2 linked regions of the Notamacropus eugenii genome follow. The protein of the gene in region 1 binds, or shares a complex with, the protein of each later gene. Links are inferred from orthologs where the notes say so. Each region holds a gene or a part of one and is shown on either strand. Other genes may lie near its edges.

Evidence for each region.
Region 2: the proteins of CTSK (region 1) and CST3 are in contact, whole or in part, in a crystal structure (PDB 8V57), measured with the Mus musculus proteins. The link is inferred for Notamacropus eugenii from reciprocal best matches to the Homo sapiens genes CTSK and CST3. Residues at the interface, in NP_031828.2 of Mus musculus: Asn132, Gln133, Gly134, Gln135, Cys136, Gly137, Cys139, Trp140, Glu173, Asn174, Tyr175, Cys177, Gly178, Gly179, Gly180, Tyr181, Met182, Ser248, Ala251, Ser252, Gln257, Phe258, Val274, Asn275, His276, Ala277, Ser297, Trp298, Ser301, Trp302; in NP_034106.2 of Mus musculus: Pro27, Arg28, Met29, Leu30, Gly31, Ala32, Pro33, Gln75, Leu76, Val77, Ala78, Val80, Asn81, Tyr122, Pro125, Trp126, Lys127, Thr133.

What each region holds. Positions count from the first base shown.
Region 1 is NC_092873.1:304,709,220-304,717,550, reverse strand, and holds the start of CTSK (cathepsin K), read left to right. Parts: upstream 1-4,972; 5' UTR 4,973-5,016; coding exon 5,017-5,243; intron 5,244-6,409; coding exon 6,410-6,460; intron 6,461-6,981; coding exon 6,982-7,111; intron 7,112-7,676; coding exon 7,677-7,799; intron 7,800-8,331. UniProt on the Homo sapiens protein: Thiol protease involved in osteoclastic bone resorption and may participate partially in the disorder of bone remodeling. Displays potent endoprotease activity against fibrinogen at acid pH. May play an important role in extracellular matrix degradation.
Region 2 is NC_092872.1:600,093,225-600,101,295, reverse strand, and holds the start of CST3 (cystatin-C), read left to right. Parts: upstream 1-4,612; 5' UTR 4,613-4,758; coding exon 4,759-4,983; intron 4,984-8,071. UniProt on the Homo sapiens protein: As an inhibitor of cysteine proteinases, this protein is thought to serve an important physiological role as a local regulator of this enzyme activity.

The sequences.
Region 1 (8,331 bases):
CAGAGACTTTTTTTGAACAAACTCTGAATTGGTTCAGGGAGGAGAGATGGGGAAAAAGAGAAATATCTCTGTGTATGAGGCCCAAGAAAGAGCAGGCACATGGCTTTAGGAATGGATACAGATAGTTTCAATTGTGTGAGTAATTCTTCTAGAAAGAAACTTGTGAGACAGAGAGAGAGAAAGAGAGAGAGAAAGAGAGTGAGTGTGAGAGAGTGTGTGTGTGTCTATCTGTCTGTGCATGCATGTGTATGTCTGTCTGTTTCTTCTGTGGCAGGGGGACTATGCATACTCTAGTCCTGACTCTGCATGCGTGTGTGTGCGTGCGTGTGTGTGTGCGTGTGTGCGTGCGCGTGTGTGTTTCCAAATAAGTCCTAAAGTGTTAATTCCAGGTATTTTCTGCTCCACATTGCAGCCAAAGTATATTTAGATTAACTTCTTTGCTGTGTTCACATCTATGCCCAGCCAGTGTGAGCAGTTGTGTAGGACTATTTTGTGCGGGCACCTTCTCATTGAACATCATCAGTGATAAAATTGGGTCACTTTCACTGTTGACAGTGCTCCTCACTTGGAGGGAACTTCAAGATATTATGGAAAGTGGGCTCAGGTGCTAACTTTTTTAAGAAACCCTAGACTCATGGCCACAAGGACTACAATGCATTTTCTGTCAGAATTATACACTGTACAAGCACTGTGGAGAAAATAACCCCATGGAAACTCAACTTCTTGGTTTGAGAGCCCCAGCAAGAGGCCCTTATACTGGGCTGTGCACCTCGATACCAACTTCATCTCAAAAATAAGTTTTTTTCAATCCCCATTCTCTAAACAAGCAGACCTAAATAGAAAAAAGAAGACATTTTTCCTTGTTACTAGCACACAGATGAAAAAAGGGTTTATGATGCTACACCTTGTTTTCTGCCTAGTCTTTAGAGTCAAGTTGGGTCTCAAAAATTTTTGCTGGGAGTAGGGAGTGGCAAGTGGGTATAAATATAATAATACTATGTGGCAGATGGGTAGGAACCCATATCAAACAGGGCTTCTTAACAATTAGTGTAGCCCTCTGGTTGAGGATATAGGCTACTATTATGGCATTTGAGCCTTAGGTCACAGTGAAGTGACAACAGTGTTTTTTTCCTATTGCCTCAGGCCAGTTTTTAATTACAAGGCTGAGTTATTAAGGGCAAGATGTTTTTAATGTAGTTGTAGGTGTCTTGAAAACAGATGACCTTGGGGAGGAAGGGGGGCAATGTCATATTGATTTGGCCTCTCCTCTCCCCTTCCCTTCACCCTGGTACCAGATAGCAAAAAGACAGGGAGAAGGAGATATTTTATTTTTTAAAAATCTATGTGCACACACACACAGCATACATACATTATATATATTATATATATATTATATTTATATCACAATTTAAGAAGCCAAAAAGTTGAGTTTCCATTTGAATCTGTCTTTTGATAATCAATTATTTTTAAATGTGATTAGGACTATAATATTGTACAGTTATTGTAGGGTTTTGGGAGGGAGGGAAAAAAACTCTGGGGGGTTTTGTTCCTACTCTTCCTTCAGGGTTTTATTTTCAGTTGTGTTTATTTTTCTTGTTGGCCATTCTTTGTTACTTGGCACCTATGTCAAGTCTCATGGTGGCACAAATGATGTCATTATGTAGCAGAGATTTTAAAGCAAAGATATTTTTCCTTTTTAAAAATCCTTGTGTGTTTTAGTCTTGATTGTGACCGCACCATCCCTGCCCAGGTTTCTTGCTTAATGCTTCCTGCCAAGGTATACACAGACAGAAAGACAAAAATGTGCTGTGTGACACAGAGCACAGGTTAGCTCCACCAAAAAATACACATACTAAGACACCAAAGATAAGAAACAACTATTCCCTAAATGAGATGCTTATATAATCTGTATTTAAAAAAAAACAAACCTCAAATCAGAGCTCTGATCATTCATCTGCTTTTTTACTGGCCCTTTGATGTTGCTACTTTCAAGAAATGGAAGGGGATGGGAAGAGAGGACGCCTATATATATAGCAGAGTTCCAAGGAAGAGAGAGCTCTAAACCCTGCAGGAAAAAGTTATCTCTACTAGACTCTGACCCCAAATATCTTTATTCTCTGATGGAAAAAAATTAAGTATTGGGAGACAGGCTGTTTCTGCTTGTTCTTGGTTTCCTTCTGGGACTGTCTTCTGTAGCATGGGCTGAAGAAACTAGACTAATTTGAGCTTGAACTGCAGGGAAATCTAGGGCTAGAATCCAGCTGTGTTGGGGAAAAGAAACCAAATGTGTTTATCTTGCTGGAATCATCCTTTTTCCTTCTCCCATGTCATCTGTTTACTGGGGGAGGGGGGGGAAGGGGGGGGTTGGGGCTGAGGCAGACTCTTGTGATCTGTCACATGCTGGGAAGGGGGAGGATGGTCTAGAAGGGCTCATATGACTGGCATGTAATAATCATCAGACAATACCCATTCCTACCATTCAACACTTAAGAAAAGGGAAATCCCTTCAACCTTCCCCGTGGTCTCAATGCTTCTGGCATTGATTTATGTGTTGTCATTATTGGAATTGCTATTTCTAATTCAATTATTTTGTAGCTGAACAGTCTCCTATGTCATGAATCATTTCTTTTCCTTGAGAAAAAGGTTCCTCTATATAGGAAAGATACTATCTTGAATGGGGTCGGAGAGGTAGAGACATACTGACCTGGTGAATAACTTACAAGAGGCAGGAAGTTTGGTTACCTCACTCCATAAAGTGGCTGAATTTTGAATTTGTAAGAATTTGACAAAATGGATTGAGGGGCTGACCTTGGAATCAAGAAGATTACAATGGTTCACCTTCTGATTCTGTCACGTACTAACCAAATGGCCACAAGCCAGTTCCAGAGGAGTTCCTGATGTGCATCCCTGGGAGGAATTTGCTACCCTGATAACAGCCTTGTACCAAACACATTTAAATCCATAAGATGAATGATAAACTAGAATTTATAACATTCATGGGGTGTTTTAAGGTTTACAAAGCACTTTTATACATAATATTGTTTGATTCTTATAATAGTCCTTTGATTGAGGTATGTAATATCCCTATTTTACTGATGAAGAAATGGGCTGAGAGTTTGGTGGGACTAGGGTTGAGAGAGAACTATTTGCTTTAGGTAAAACACAAAGTCTGGGGCACGTTTTGAACATGATTTTTCGTGATTCAAGTTCTTGGGAGGATCTGCAATATACAAGGTGCTGGGGAAAAGAAAAAGATTAGATGTCTTTAAGCTTTTAATCTAGTAGAAAGAGATGTCAGTCCATCGACAAGCATTTATTAAGCATCTACAATGTGCCAAGTCCTGCTTAACAGGTACAAGGCAAAAATTACCTCAAAGACCTTACATTCACACACATACATAAAAAAAATAACCAGTCATAAGCCATTTACATGCCTACTATGTGGTAAACACTACTAACTGTTAGGGATACAAACAAAAAAGCGAAGGACCATCCCTACTTAAGCTCATGTTCTAATGGGGCACATATATAACTACATTCATACATGTACATACATTCACACATGGGTATGTACTTATTTAAATATATGTGTGTACACACATACCTATATGTGAACATACAGACCATATGTGTGTATATATATACACACATATACATACATAAACATATATACATAGACACACAGTGGTCAGACAAGAGTACCAGATGTAAGCAGAATTAAGCAGCCAGGGAAGGAGGAAGTGCTTGTTTTTTCATTGGTGTAACTGTTAAATTCTTTAGGTAAAGAGGGATGATTATTGTATGATGATCTTGAGAGAGCACAGTGAAGTAAAGTTAGAAACAGAAGGCAGACTGCCAAGGGTAGAGAAGTAAGTGTAGACCACTCCTTCAGGAAATTTGGCAGTGAAAGGAAGAAGAGAGCACAGTGCCTTGAAGTCTTCATCAGGGTGAAAATCAAGATTCTTTCTTAGGATAGGGAAGACCTTTTTAGGTGGATTTATTTATTGAGTCACTTCGGTTGTATCTGATTCTTTGTGACTCCATTTGGGGTTTTCTTGAAAAAGTTAGTGGAATGGTTTGCCAGCTTATTTGACTGATGAGGAACTGAGGCAAACAGTGACTTGCCCAGTGTCACACAGCTAGTAAGAGTCTGAGGCCAGATTTGAACCCAGAAAGATGAGTCTATCTGGCACCCCATCCATTTCACCACCAAGCTGTCCTTTTAAAGTGGATATAAATAATTAATGGAGAAGAAATGACTGAAGTTAGAGAAGAGCTTAGACTTATAGACCTTATAAATTGTTTTGTTCAATCACCTCATTTTGTGTACATAGACACACACAGACACACACAGACACACACAGACACACACACACAGACACACACACACACACACACACACACACACACACACACACCTACCCAGAAAAGTGAAATCTTTTATGTAAGACCAAACTGCTACTTAGGGGCAGAAGTAGGTCTACAATTTGGTTTTCAATGGTACTCTTCCCCAATAAGTTCTCTCAGGGTCCACAAGAACATATGATGAACACCACAGGTGGTGTAGTGGGTTACTTTTATTCAGGTGCATTAGTTCTTCTGAGAGACTTGAAGGAAAAATAGATTTGAAGAAAAAGAAGTTTCGACATCCAGGGTTAGGAGAGAGAATGGTCTCTAAAATAGGAGTGAAGGTCATCTGCTGAGAATTTCAGTGACCTAAGACATTGCTAATCTTACAGACTAAAAGAAACATTGCTCTTGTGTGTGTGTGTGTGTGTGTTTTAAAGTAAACAGTACCCCAAACGGTAGGTATTTAGTACGTGTGAAAAGTCAGTCTGGTGGGACTAGGGAGGCAAAACTAGCCTCCCACAGCCAGTACCCTTCTCAGCCAGAAGATAGAGAAGATAAAGCTTGGGAGGATCCTGTGTTGAGGCTGAATAGCCCAGCTTCCAAGACGAGTTTTCTGTGTGCCACAAAGTCATGTGAAATAACACCCAGCAACTCTTCCCTGTTGATATGCAAATCTGTTCTCCTCCTTCCCTTCTCTCTTTTGGTTTCCTTCCACTCTGCCCCTCTCCCCCCTCTTCCTCCTGGCCACTTCCCAGCCTGACAGTCCAGATTTTCCAGCCGACTGCTGGAACTGACTTCCTCAAACTTTTTGGAATAAAACTAGCATCCATAATCATCCCCCCAGATACGTGCCTGTGCCTTCCTCTCCAGACTAGAGGACAGACCATCATCAGGTAAAGCTGCGCTTTTCCTTTACCCTTCCCCTGCCCTTCCGCTCCTCATCCCTGCCTGTGGATTTCTTTAGGAAAATCAGGGGATACTACGACATGGGTGAAGTGACTTCTAGGGATAATTTTGTTGCCACATAGATATTTCTTCTTTGGAAATCTGCAATGTATCTTGTGAGTGGACTTTGTCCTAAAACTCTGAGGAGGGCAGAAGGGTTAGGGGCCTCCCACCCACTCGAATTCCCCCAAGGCTCTGCTTGTAGTTGTTTGCCTGATTTCAAAAGAGGATAGGGAGAGGAAGGATTAAGAGAGTTTAGATCTAGGGATCCTTATACTACAACACCCAAGTGGAGGGGAGAGTGTTAAAGCTATCCCATCTTTCTAAGATTTCTGGGCCTCCCAGCATGGTAACTGCTAATATTTGACATGGCTGGGGTTGTATAGAGGGTCTCTCAGCCCTGGCCCTTCCGGTACAATCATGAAAAGGACTGAAGACATGGTCAAAATGGCCCTCAGTAGCCTAAGCTTACTCAAAATTGTTAGTACCTAGGATGTCATGTGGCATGTTATTCTGCATAGCTGCTTTTGTGAAGGAGGCTTTATAACACAGTCCCACAGATCAGGGTGGGACTGAGTACTTGACCTTCAGGGGCTGCTCATGCTTGATTTTCTTGGGATGTAGAAACTGGGCTTCTGACAGTGGAAAAGAAAGGGAAATCTTTCTGACCACAGCAGCTGGTTGATATTAGAGCAGTTTCCTGAAAAAGGAGGAGGAAAAAAAAACTACAGTAGAGTTGGGAGTAGAGGAGAGGGGAGGATTTTGGAGAAGGGTTAGGGAAAGGGAGATAGAAATAAGTAAGGAGAATGGGAAGCAGAGAAAGCAAGAGAGATTGGGACAGGGAGGAAAATCCTTCCAATTAGCAAATTTTGGCTCAGCAGTCCATTCTATATCTAAGAATTTAGGAATGGGTTCTTTTGAAAGAAAAGTAGGTCAGAGTCTAAGGAGATTCACTGATCAGGTCAAAACCTCCACTTGGTGTCTATTAAAATTCTAATTTGATCTTGGCCATTCCCTTTTCCTTATCATCTCCTCTGGGCTTGCTGGGCATACTGGAGGGAGAGGGAGAAGATATTAATCAGATCATTTTTAATTTTCCCTTCCACATATGTAGAGCTAGAAGAAACCTTTGCACTGAAGACAACTCAAAGGCAAACAGTACAAAGTGAGTGCTCAGTTGAAAGGAATGGATGTATGTGGGAGGGTGAGCAGATAGAAACTTTGGAATACTCTTTAGCCCACCATCTGGTAGCTTTCTTATTTTAATTAACTATTTTCTTTCTAATTTCACTAAACTGCTGAAAAATTACAAATACTAGCCGTGCCCTCTAAATTTTATACGTTGGTGCAAAGGACTAATCGCCCTGCCTTAGACACATCTCAATATATATATTTATTTTGTTTCTCTATTGTGTGTGTTTGGGTGATGTTTTGCCAGGATAAAGTACACTGGGAGGAGTCAAGGAATCAGACAAGAAAAGCAATGTGTTTCTGTAATGTTTAGATTTTACCCAGAGCTGGGTCCCTGACTCTTATTCTTTGGTCATAAACCATTCTCAGCACTCTGTCTCCCTTCCCAAAATGACAGTTTCTCCCCACCCCCATTATTCTTGATTTGGAATTTGAATGCAGTTTTCATATATACCCCTTGCACATCCAGAATCTGGACAGTATTTCTTCCCTCAGGATGTGGGGGTTCAGCATCCTGTTATTGTTGCTGCCATCAGTGGTGAGTTCTGCTTTGTACCCAGAGGAGATGTTAGATACACAGTGGAAGTTGTGGAAGAAATCCTATGGAAAAGAATATAACAGCAAGGTATGTGGGGACCTGGAGGGAGGCCTGAGTTGTGACGATTGGAAGTATTTGAGGGGTCAAAGCTTCTTCTATCCTGTAACATTCTTTTAAGTACTAGACCCTCCCTGAAATATAAATCATTATAAATTCAATATAAATTTCCCACTTGAAGCAAATCTCCCCTGTTCTTTACTCATACTTCCCCCCTCTGACCTCCAAGCCTTACCCCAACTTGTTACCCAACCTTAATTCCCTGTTCCTTGTAGCCTTTCTAACCTTTCTTCTATAAGACTCCCCAGAATAACCCATGCCAGGTCTGTGTACTCCCTTGGTTGATATCATCCCAGGACTTATGGACTTAATATGATTATAATATTTGGCATTTCTTTATATACTAATTTCTAAGTACTCTTAAATTTTTTTTTTATGCACATATGTTTAGTTTCCTCACATTGTCCTCTCTTAGAGCATGGGAGTATCTGGCATCTTCCTTCTGACTCCCTGACAACATTTAGTATAGGTCTATACTTAGTGTAGTCTACAAAGGATGTTCAGTCAGAGTCACTGTTACCCCTGCTCTACTTAGGTGGATGAAATCTCTCGACGTCTGATTTGGGAAAAGAACCTGAAATATATTTCCACCCACAACCTGGAATTCTCTCTTGGTCTTCACACGTTTGAACTGGCTATGAACCATTTAGGAGACATGGTAAGTCTGTCTTATCCCCTAGTTTCAATTTCCTATGTAAGGGTTAAGTCTCAACCTGGCAACAGGAGCCAGACTCATCTTAAGGTTTTTTCCATTAAAAAAAATATGCCTTTTAGAATTTTTATTGCACATCATAGTCATTTTCAGATAGATTTCCTTTCCTCCACTGAGGAAATGAGCATGCCTGACAACCATGTCTGATAACGGATGCTCCTGAATCCTGTACCCACAGCACCCATTTTTCTACTAAGAGCAGGGGCATATATGTTAACTTTTCTGTTCTCTGGATCCCAGGTTGTTCACTGTAATTAATTTGAGTTGTGTTGTTTTCATTTACATTGTGTATGTTGTGTATAGTCACTGTATATATTATTTTCTTGGTTCTGCTTTCCTTGTTTTGCATCAGTTCTTACAAGTCTTCCCATGTAACTATGAATTCCTCATATTCATGATTTATTTTGGTACAGTACTGGCTTATTACATTTACATAATACAAATTCTTATTCTATCCCTTAATCAATAAGCACCTTCT
Region 2 (8,071 bases), on another chromosome or scaffold:
AATTCATGAGGAATGGGTCTGAGAGCAGTGGCTAACTGGAGGCAGTGGCTGGGATCCCATCACAATCGACATGCCTGCTATTTCTGTGAGAAATATGAGTTCATGGACACACCTGTAGTTCTGGTGAGGAAGTGAGGCGTATGTGAGGAAGTTAGAATGTTGGGGGGAGGGGGGCAGTGGCTAACTAGGGGCAGTGGACCTGCTGTTCAGTGGGACCTGTGATTGAGTCCGAGATTCTCTAGTATGGTTAAAGCTAAATTATGTGGTCAAATCAGGGCATGCCTGCTGTTCAGTGGGACCCATAAGGAAGTCAGACTTGGGGCTGGGGGCAGCTTTCTGAGGATTCCATCAGTACTGATATTTTCTCAGTCACCTGTGTTGGTAAAAAATGCCTGTGATTTTTTTAAAGCATTTATCATCTTTTCCTCATTCAGATATCTTGATATCTGATTACTCGATGCTCTCAAAATTGTGTTGCCTCAAGCAAAGACTACCTTCATCAAAACTTCATCTGCTCCACTTATTCCTACCGTCTCTATTTCCTTTAGCACCATTACTACTTGGATAATGCAACAGAAATTGCAAACTAGAATTAAAGTCATAAGTCTGGAGTTCAAATCCTGCTACTTTTACTGATTGTTTTTATGATCTTGAGCAAGTTACTTAACCTTCCTGGGTCTCATTTTCTTCATCTATAAAATGATAGGGGAGAGGATAGACTAGATGACCTCTAATATTTTTTTGACCTCTAAACCAATATTATGATGTAGTATACTTAGGGATATAGTAGTATAGTGATGTATTAGGAACTGTTAAAAGCTCAAAAGTAAGAGCACTGCTATTATAAACAGGGAAAGCAATTTCTTATGGAGATCTTTATAGAATTTTCCCATTTTCTTAATTTATTTTCCTCTCAGCTATTAAACTTATTCACATTTAGGTATAAACAACTGACAAAATTCATTAACTTTATCCAGTATTTGTATTTTTGAGAAATGAAGAATTTGGTTGAACAAATTTTAGTATACAAGTAAATAGAACATTACTGCTCCATAAAGAATAAACAATGTGATAAATTCAAAGACTCATAGGATCTAAGTCATAGATCTGAAATATGAAGGCACCTTCCCAGTAATCTACTCCAATCTCCTCATTTTACACCAGTTTTTCCCATTCCCCCTCCCCAAAGCTTCCCTTTTTCCAAGTCCTTGAAAAAATTGTCTGAACTCTGCCTCTACCCTCTCCTCTTAATCACTCCTCAACCCCTGGAGGTTAGGTTCCAATCTCATCACTTAGCTGAAACTGTTCCTCCATGGTTACCAAAGACCTCTTAATTGCAAATCTGATGTTCTTTTCTCAATCCTAACCCTAAATGTAAACACATTTGACATTTTTGACCACCTTCTCCTCCTTAATACTCTAAATGTTAGGGATTTTCATGACACTTACTCTTTCTTCCCTGGTTCTCCTCCCTCCCACCTATCTGACAAGTCTTCCATCTCATTTGTTTGTCTATCAATCACATCATGCCTTCTATCATTGTGCCCCATGGTTCCATCGTCGTTTTTATTCTCCCTCTTTATTCTCTCTCTCTCTCTCTCTCTCTCTCTCTCTCTCTCTCTCTCTCTCTCTCTCTCTTTCCCTCTCTTTCCCTCTCTCTCTCTCTTCTCTCTCCCTCTCCCTCCCCCTCTCTCTTTTCCTCTTTCTCTCTCTCCCTCTCCCTCCCTCTCTCTCCCTCTTTCCTTCTCTCTCTCTCCCTCTTTCCTTCTCTCTCTCTCCCTCTCTCTCTCTGTCTCTTTGGCAAACTCATCATCTCACCTGGTCTTAACTATCATCTCTATGCAGATGACTCTTAGGTCTGCATATCTAGTCCCAGTCTCTCCTTAGCTTCACTCTTGCCTCAACAACTGCCAACTGGCTATTTCAAACTGGATGTCCCAAGGACACCTTAAATTCAACATGTACAAAACTGAATTCATTATCTTGCCCCACTAAACTCTGCTCTCTTCTAAATTTCTCTGTTTCTATCAAAGGTATTACCATCCTTTCCAGTCTCCAGTTCATAATGGGCACTATCTTGGACCTTTCACAGCCTCTCACCCCACATATCCAATCAGTTATCAAATCTATTTTTATTTTTTTTCTAACAAGCATTTATTTTTGCCTTTCCTCCCCCTTTGAGAATTAACCACAAGAACAAAAGTCTAACAGATATGCATGAGCAAAGCAAATTCTCACATCAATCATACCCAAAACTCTATGTTTCTCTCTACATTGTGAGTCCGTTACTACTCTGCCAGGAGGTAGGTAGCACCTGGGTTTGTCATGGCATGGATCAGAGTTCTAATTCTTTTCGAAATTGTTTTGTTTTGCTTTTCACATTGTGGTTACTTCAGAAATTGTTCTCCTGATCCTGCTCACTACCCTCTGTATCAGTTCACACAGATCTTCCCAGACTTCTTTGAAATCATCCACATTATCATTTCTTAATGAGCAATAATATTCCATTTCAATAACCAAATCTTGTTATTTTTACCTCTATTACATTTCTTATCTCCAATCCCATCTTTCTACTACATAACAACTGCCTTACTCCAGGTCCTCATCACTTCTCACCTAGATTACTACAAGAGGCTTCTACTTTGTTTCCCTAAGCTGTATGCTGGGGATACAAACAGAAAGAATGAAGTAATGCCCAACTTGCATTCCGATGGCAGAGACAACAAGTCCATATATATACATAAGCATATGCAGCATAAATTTGAAGAGAATAAATACAAAGTTGTTAAATACCAGGTAGTTTGAGTGGAAGGGCACTAGCATTCGGTTGATTCAAGCAAAAGATGGTACTTGATCTGTGTCTTTAAGAAAGGATCTCTATGAAAAAGAAGTAAGAGTCACTGTGAAACCCAGATGTGAGACAGTGTCAAGGCATAGTAGATGGAGAGTCGTATGTGAGGAATAAAGAGGCTAGTTTGGCTAAATTTTAAAGTGAGGGGTGGAGAATAACATCTAATTGGAATGATAGATTGAGGTCAGGTTGCCTAGGCCTTTAAAAATTACACTCCTTTTAATTGGTTGGTTGGTTAATTGACTGGTTGATTGACTGGGTGCCAGACTGGTTACAGGATTTGTTTAATGCCACACCGGTAAGAAGTAGAGGAGGTGGGATTGGAATTCAAATCCTCTGACTTCAATACTAATGCATTCTCCAGTGCACTACCTTACCTCCCAAATAGGAAATACAAGAGAAGATTGTATTGTGATATAGTGAACACAACAGACCTGAAGTGAATATAAAAAAAAAACTGACTTTAATTATGTAAATTAAGTCAACTTTGAGAAGCAATAAAATTCAGATCAATCAATCAATAAGTAGTTATTAAGTGTCTTTTATATACCAGGCACTATGCTAAGCACTTTGATCAGTGAGTTGGACAGGACTGGTACTAACTTGGAAACTTTTTTTTTAAAAGAAAGCACATAAAATGTAAAGTTGAGAAACATTTAATTGCTTATTATGTGCCAGGCACTGGCACTTAGCAAAGTCCCTGGAATACAGCAGGTGCTTAATATAGAAGGAAAAGGAGTAAGCATTTATAAAGTGCCTACTGTGTACCAGGTACTGTGCTAAGTGCTTTACAAATAGTATCTAATTTGGTCCTCACAACAACGCAGGCAGGTAGGCACTGTTAATATCCCCATATGATAGGTAGGGTTACTCTGTAACAAACAGAGCAAGTGGCTTGCCCAGGGTCACATAATCGGTATCTAAGATCGTATTTGAGCTGGGGCCTCCCTAGCCCCAAATGTAAATTGACTAACTGTCCGGGATACAAAGAAAGCCACAGACACCGTACCAGACCTCGGGAAACTGACACTCTCATCGAGGAAACAAGGATTAAAAAAATGTACGTATATATGTAACAGACAGGCCACGTGACTAAAAGGTAATCTCAGTCGGGTGAGAGGAGGGTAGGGGGTAGGGGATGGGTGGGAAAAGTACCCCCTGGGCTTTTAGCTGAATCTAGAAGGAAGCCAGGAGGGCCAGGGGCCCTCCCTCAGGGATCGTTTGTTTCCCTGTTCTATGTACATTGTAACAATGCTGAGGATACAAAGGTTTGGCACGCTTGGAAGAAATAACGTCGGTCCCCAAAGCGTGCGTAAAAAACAAATTACTTGTAATTACGTAACAAAGAAATAGATAACAAACGCTTGCCAAATGAAAATTAAAACAATTTTTAAAGGAGTTTTTTTAAGGAAGTCCTAAAAGGGATATGGAAATCACTCCCAACCTCCCACCCTGTGTGCTCTGCCTAGGCATACGACGTTTTTTTTTTTCTTTCCAAAAAAAACAACGAAACTGAACTGGAAAAGTGGTCAAGCGGGCCGCGGCTGCAGCCTCGGCCCCGGGCTGCGCGGCGTCCGGGCGGGGTTTGCACAGAGGGGAGGGGCAGGCGGGGGAGGGGCAGGCGGAGGAAGGGCCGCGCGGGGGCGGGCTGGGCTGGGGGCGGGGCCGGGCTGGGCTGGGGGCGGGGTCGGGGCGGGGGCCGGCCTGGGGGCGGGGCCGGCCTGGGGGCGGGGCCGGCCTGGGGGCGGGGCCGGCCTGGGGGCGGGGTCGGGCTGGGGGCGGGGTCGGGCTGGGGGCGGGGCCCAGCGAGGAGCTATTTAGATCCAGCCTGGCCAGGCCACGGGAGGCGCGTCCCCCAGCAGAGATTTCAGCTACGTTCTCCTCGCGGCGCACTCCCAGGAGCTACGATGGCCGGTCCCCGCTCCTTCCTGCTGCTGCCTCTGCTGCTGCTGGCCCTGGCCTTCGCCGTCCAAGCCGAGCGCCTGCCCCGCCTCCTGGGCGGCCTCATGGAGGCCAACGAGAACGAGGAGGGCGTGCAAAAAGCGCTCGGCTTCGCCCTGAGAGAATTCAACAAGGCCAGCAACGACATGTACCACAGCCGAGTGTCCAGGGTGGTGCGAGTCAGGAAACAGGTCTGTGCGGAGCCCTTCTCCCCTTCCCGGGCCCCGTCATCCCGAGGCAGGGCCTGGAGCCGCACCCTCCGCCGGGACTCCCAGGCTGGGGGCGGCTCCAGCGGCGGCATCCCGCCCCGCTGTTCTGGAAGCCACCCCAGGCGCCCTCCTCTGCCCCAGCTGGTGGTTGGTTGGGCCCCTCCCCTGTGATCCCGGGGGGGGGGGGGAATCTGAGCGCGGGGGTGGGAGGGGCTTGGCAAGAGACCCTCATTTGGGATTGTGAATTTTAAATATGTGTGTCTGAGTGTGGTTTTAATTATGCATTTCTTTGTGTATGTAGATATATATATAGGTGTGCACATATGTATATATGTGCATGTGCTGTGTGTACAAATGAGTGCATATGCAACGTATGCTTATCTTTGTGCATAAATATACATATGTGTCTAGAGATATACACAGATATATTCTTAAGGTCAGGGACTGTATCGTTGTTTCTCTTGACCCAATTAACTAAAATGTATTAAATGCCTACCATATATGCCAAGCACTGCGCTAAGTTCCAGTGGCTAGCACGCAGGAGGCACTTCATATATATTTCTGGACTTCATGTAAATGCAGCTTTACGCTTTAGTCACTTTCTGTTTGTTAAAAGGAGAGAGGGGCATATGCTTTTTTTTGTTAGTACCAACCCTGTCCACCTTGTTCATCTCGGTGCCTAGCGAGGTGTTTGGTATATAGTACCTAAAACATATATATGCATTTAAAAACATTTTTCTGAGAAGGGGTCTGTAGGCTTCAGCAGACTGCCCAAAGGATCCTTAAAACATCCGGAAATGATTAAGGAACCGTGATTTAGGAGGTGAATTGTCCTCTGTTGGGCAAATAGAAACAAATGCTTTCTCTCTCTCCTACCTAACCAGGCTTTTCTGCACTGTCACTTGGATTAAAAAGGGGAACGGGAAGTTTGCATTGGATGAATTCAGGAAGTAGAAGACCCAGTGTGCTTTCTCCTTTGCAGTTCAGTGTGAGGGATGCTGTACCCCGCACCACAGGGATTTACCGGGAGTATTTATTCTTTGGCTGTAATGCATTCTTCTTCATCCCCCAGGCTGTGATGGGAGCCAAGTTTGTGACTAACGTACCAAGTAACTTTGCACTGTGAGTTTGGGGAGTCTGAATACAGGAAAATGGAGTTGATGGCAGTTCTTCTTGGGACTAACCTACACCCTGTTCTTGTGGATACAAGTCCAGTAGTGAATAGAATAGCTCTTGGTCAGCAAGGCAGTTGGGGTGTTAACTAGTATCTTGACTTTTTAATCTTTGTTTTTTTAAAGTTCAGAGGAGAACCCAAACTGGCTGTTCTGTGGCACCTACTATCTCTGTAATTTTTTTTTCTTCTACCAAACAATTGTGAATCAATCATTTTTATCTTTGAGCTTTTCTGTTTTTTCAGGTAGTAATAAAGACTAGAAGGACGTAATTGAGCTGTCTTACTTAACACCTGCATGACATTAGGCAAATCAGTTAACTTGCGGCTCTCAATTTTATCTTTATCTTTTTATCTTTAAAATTAGAAAAATGGAATAGGTAACTTTTAAGGTTCTTTCAGTTTCTGAATATAAATTATCCCTGGCCCATTCTCTTCCCTATAATACCCAAGAACACATTAGGTCAGAAAAATGCCTCATTGTCTAATGGCCGAAATTCACCTCTGGCAAATGATACTCTAATGAAAGACCCGTTTGTCAGATATCATTAGTCTGAGGTGGTCCATTTTTCTGTATTTAGGTTTTGGGATTGTTTTAGCTCACAGGCTAGGAATCCTCAGTCGATTGGACATTTGAAGAGTATATTTTTTAAAAAGTCAAACTTTATTTATTTATTCTTTCTTTTGTTTTCCTCTCAAATGTTATTCTGCTCCGTATTTCTGAAAAACTGGTTGGATGTTGGATAGGTCTGGGGTTGCCTAATAATGGCCTTTAGGGTCAAGCCTGGTTGGTGTTTCGCATATGTGTTTGTGTAAGAGAAATTACTTAAGATCCCGCTTATCATGACATTGTTTTGAGGGATTGTTGTGACACAGAATTTTAGACTTGAAGCTTCAAACTTTCAATTTCTCTGGGTTTTTGAGGGTTGTGGGAAAGGTTACCCAGTCTGTTCTGCCTTAGAAAATGTCCACACAATTGGTGTCTTTTCCTGTACCCATCTGAAAAGGAGAAAATGTCTTGGGCCATGCATGCATCACTTGAACTAAGCCTGGTGGTAAGGTTTATTGTGATTGTGTCTTAATCCTGAAAGTAATTTCTAGGTCTGTCATTTTTCTAAGATGCTATAAGTTTCTATTAGGAAGCCAGAATCCTGATCTAGTTGTAGGTTACTACATTTGTATGACATTTTGAGATTTCCAAAGCACTTTGCATACATTATCTCATTTGAACACATTTAACATTTATAGAATCACAGAATCTTAGGCATGTAAGGGACCAAAGAAGTAGCTTAGTCCAATCTCTTTCTGAACAAGACTCTATGCTATAGCATCCTTGATCATGAGTGAATGAAATATCGTTTATTGGCCTGCTATGTGCCAAGGATTTTACTATAGGAGTTTTACAACCCAGTGGATAGGATTGGGTGTTTTGATCTGGGGGAGTCACAAGAATGGGAAGGAGCCATGGGATGTTTCACAATAAGCTGTGTTGGAATGAGGAAAAATCTGGGGACAGTGCTAGAGCTAGTCTGGAGGAGCAGGATAGATAGATGCTAAGTATGTTCTGGGGCTAGCTAGATAGGATGGGTTACCAGAGTTTCCATTCTCTCACTTACAGGAACACATCATCTAACACCCACTTAACATATCAGAACAGCTTAACCAAAGGCAGAAGTTCTAAAGCCCAGTGAATTTATTCTGCAGTCTACAGACAGAGGTCTCTAGAAGTTTAGTGCTGAGGTGGTGTTTTTATTCTCTGCTCAGAGACTTCCTGTGAAGGAAAGACACACACTCCTCCCATTCTGCTTTTGACTTGTTCTAATGGTTATGGAAAGTGGACTGGATTTGGTATCTTCCTACCTCTCTTCCATTCAGGTTCCCTGAATTTGCCATTTGTAT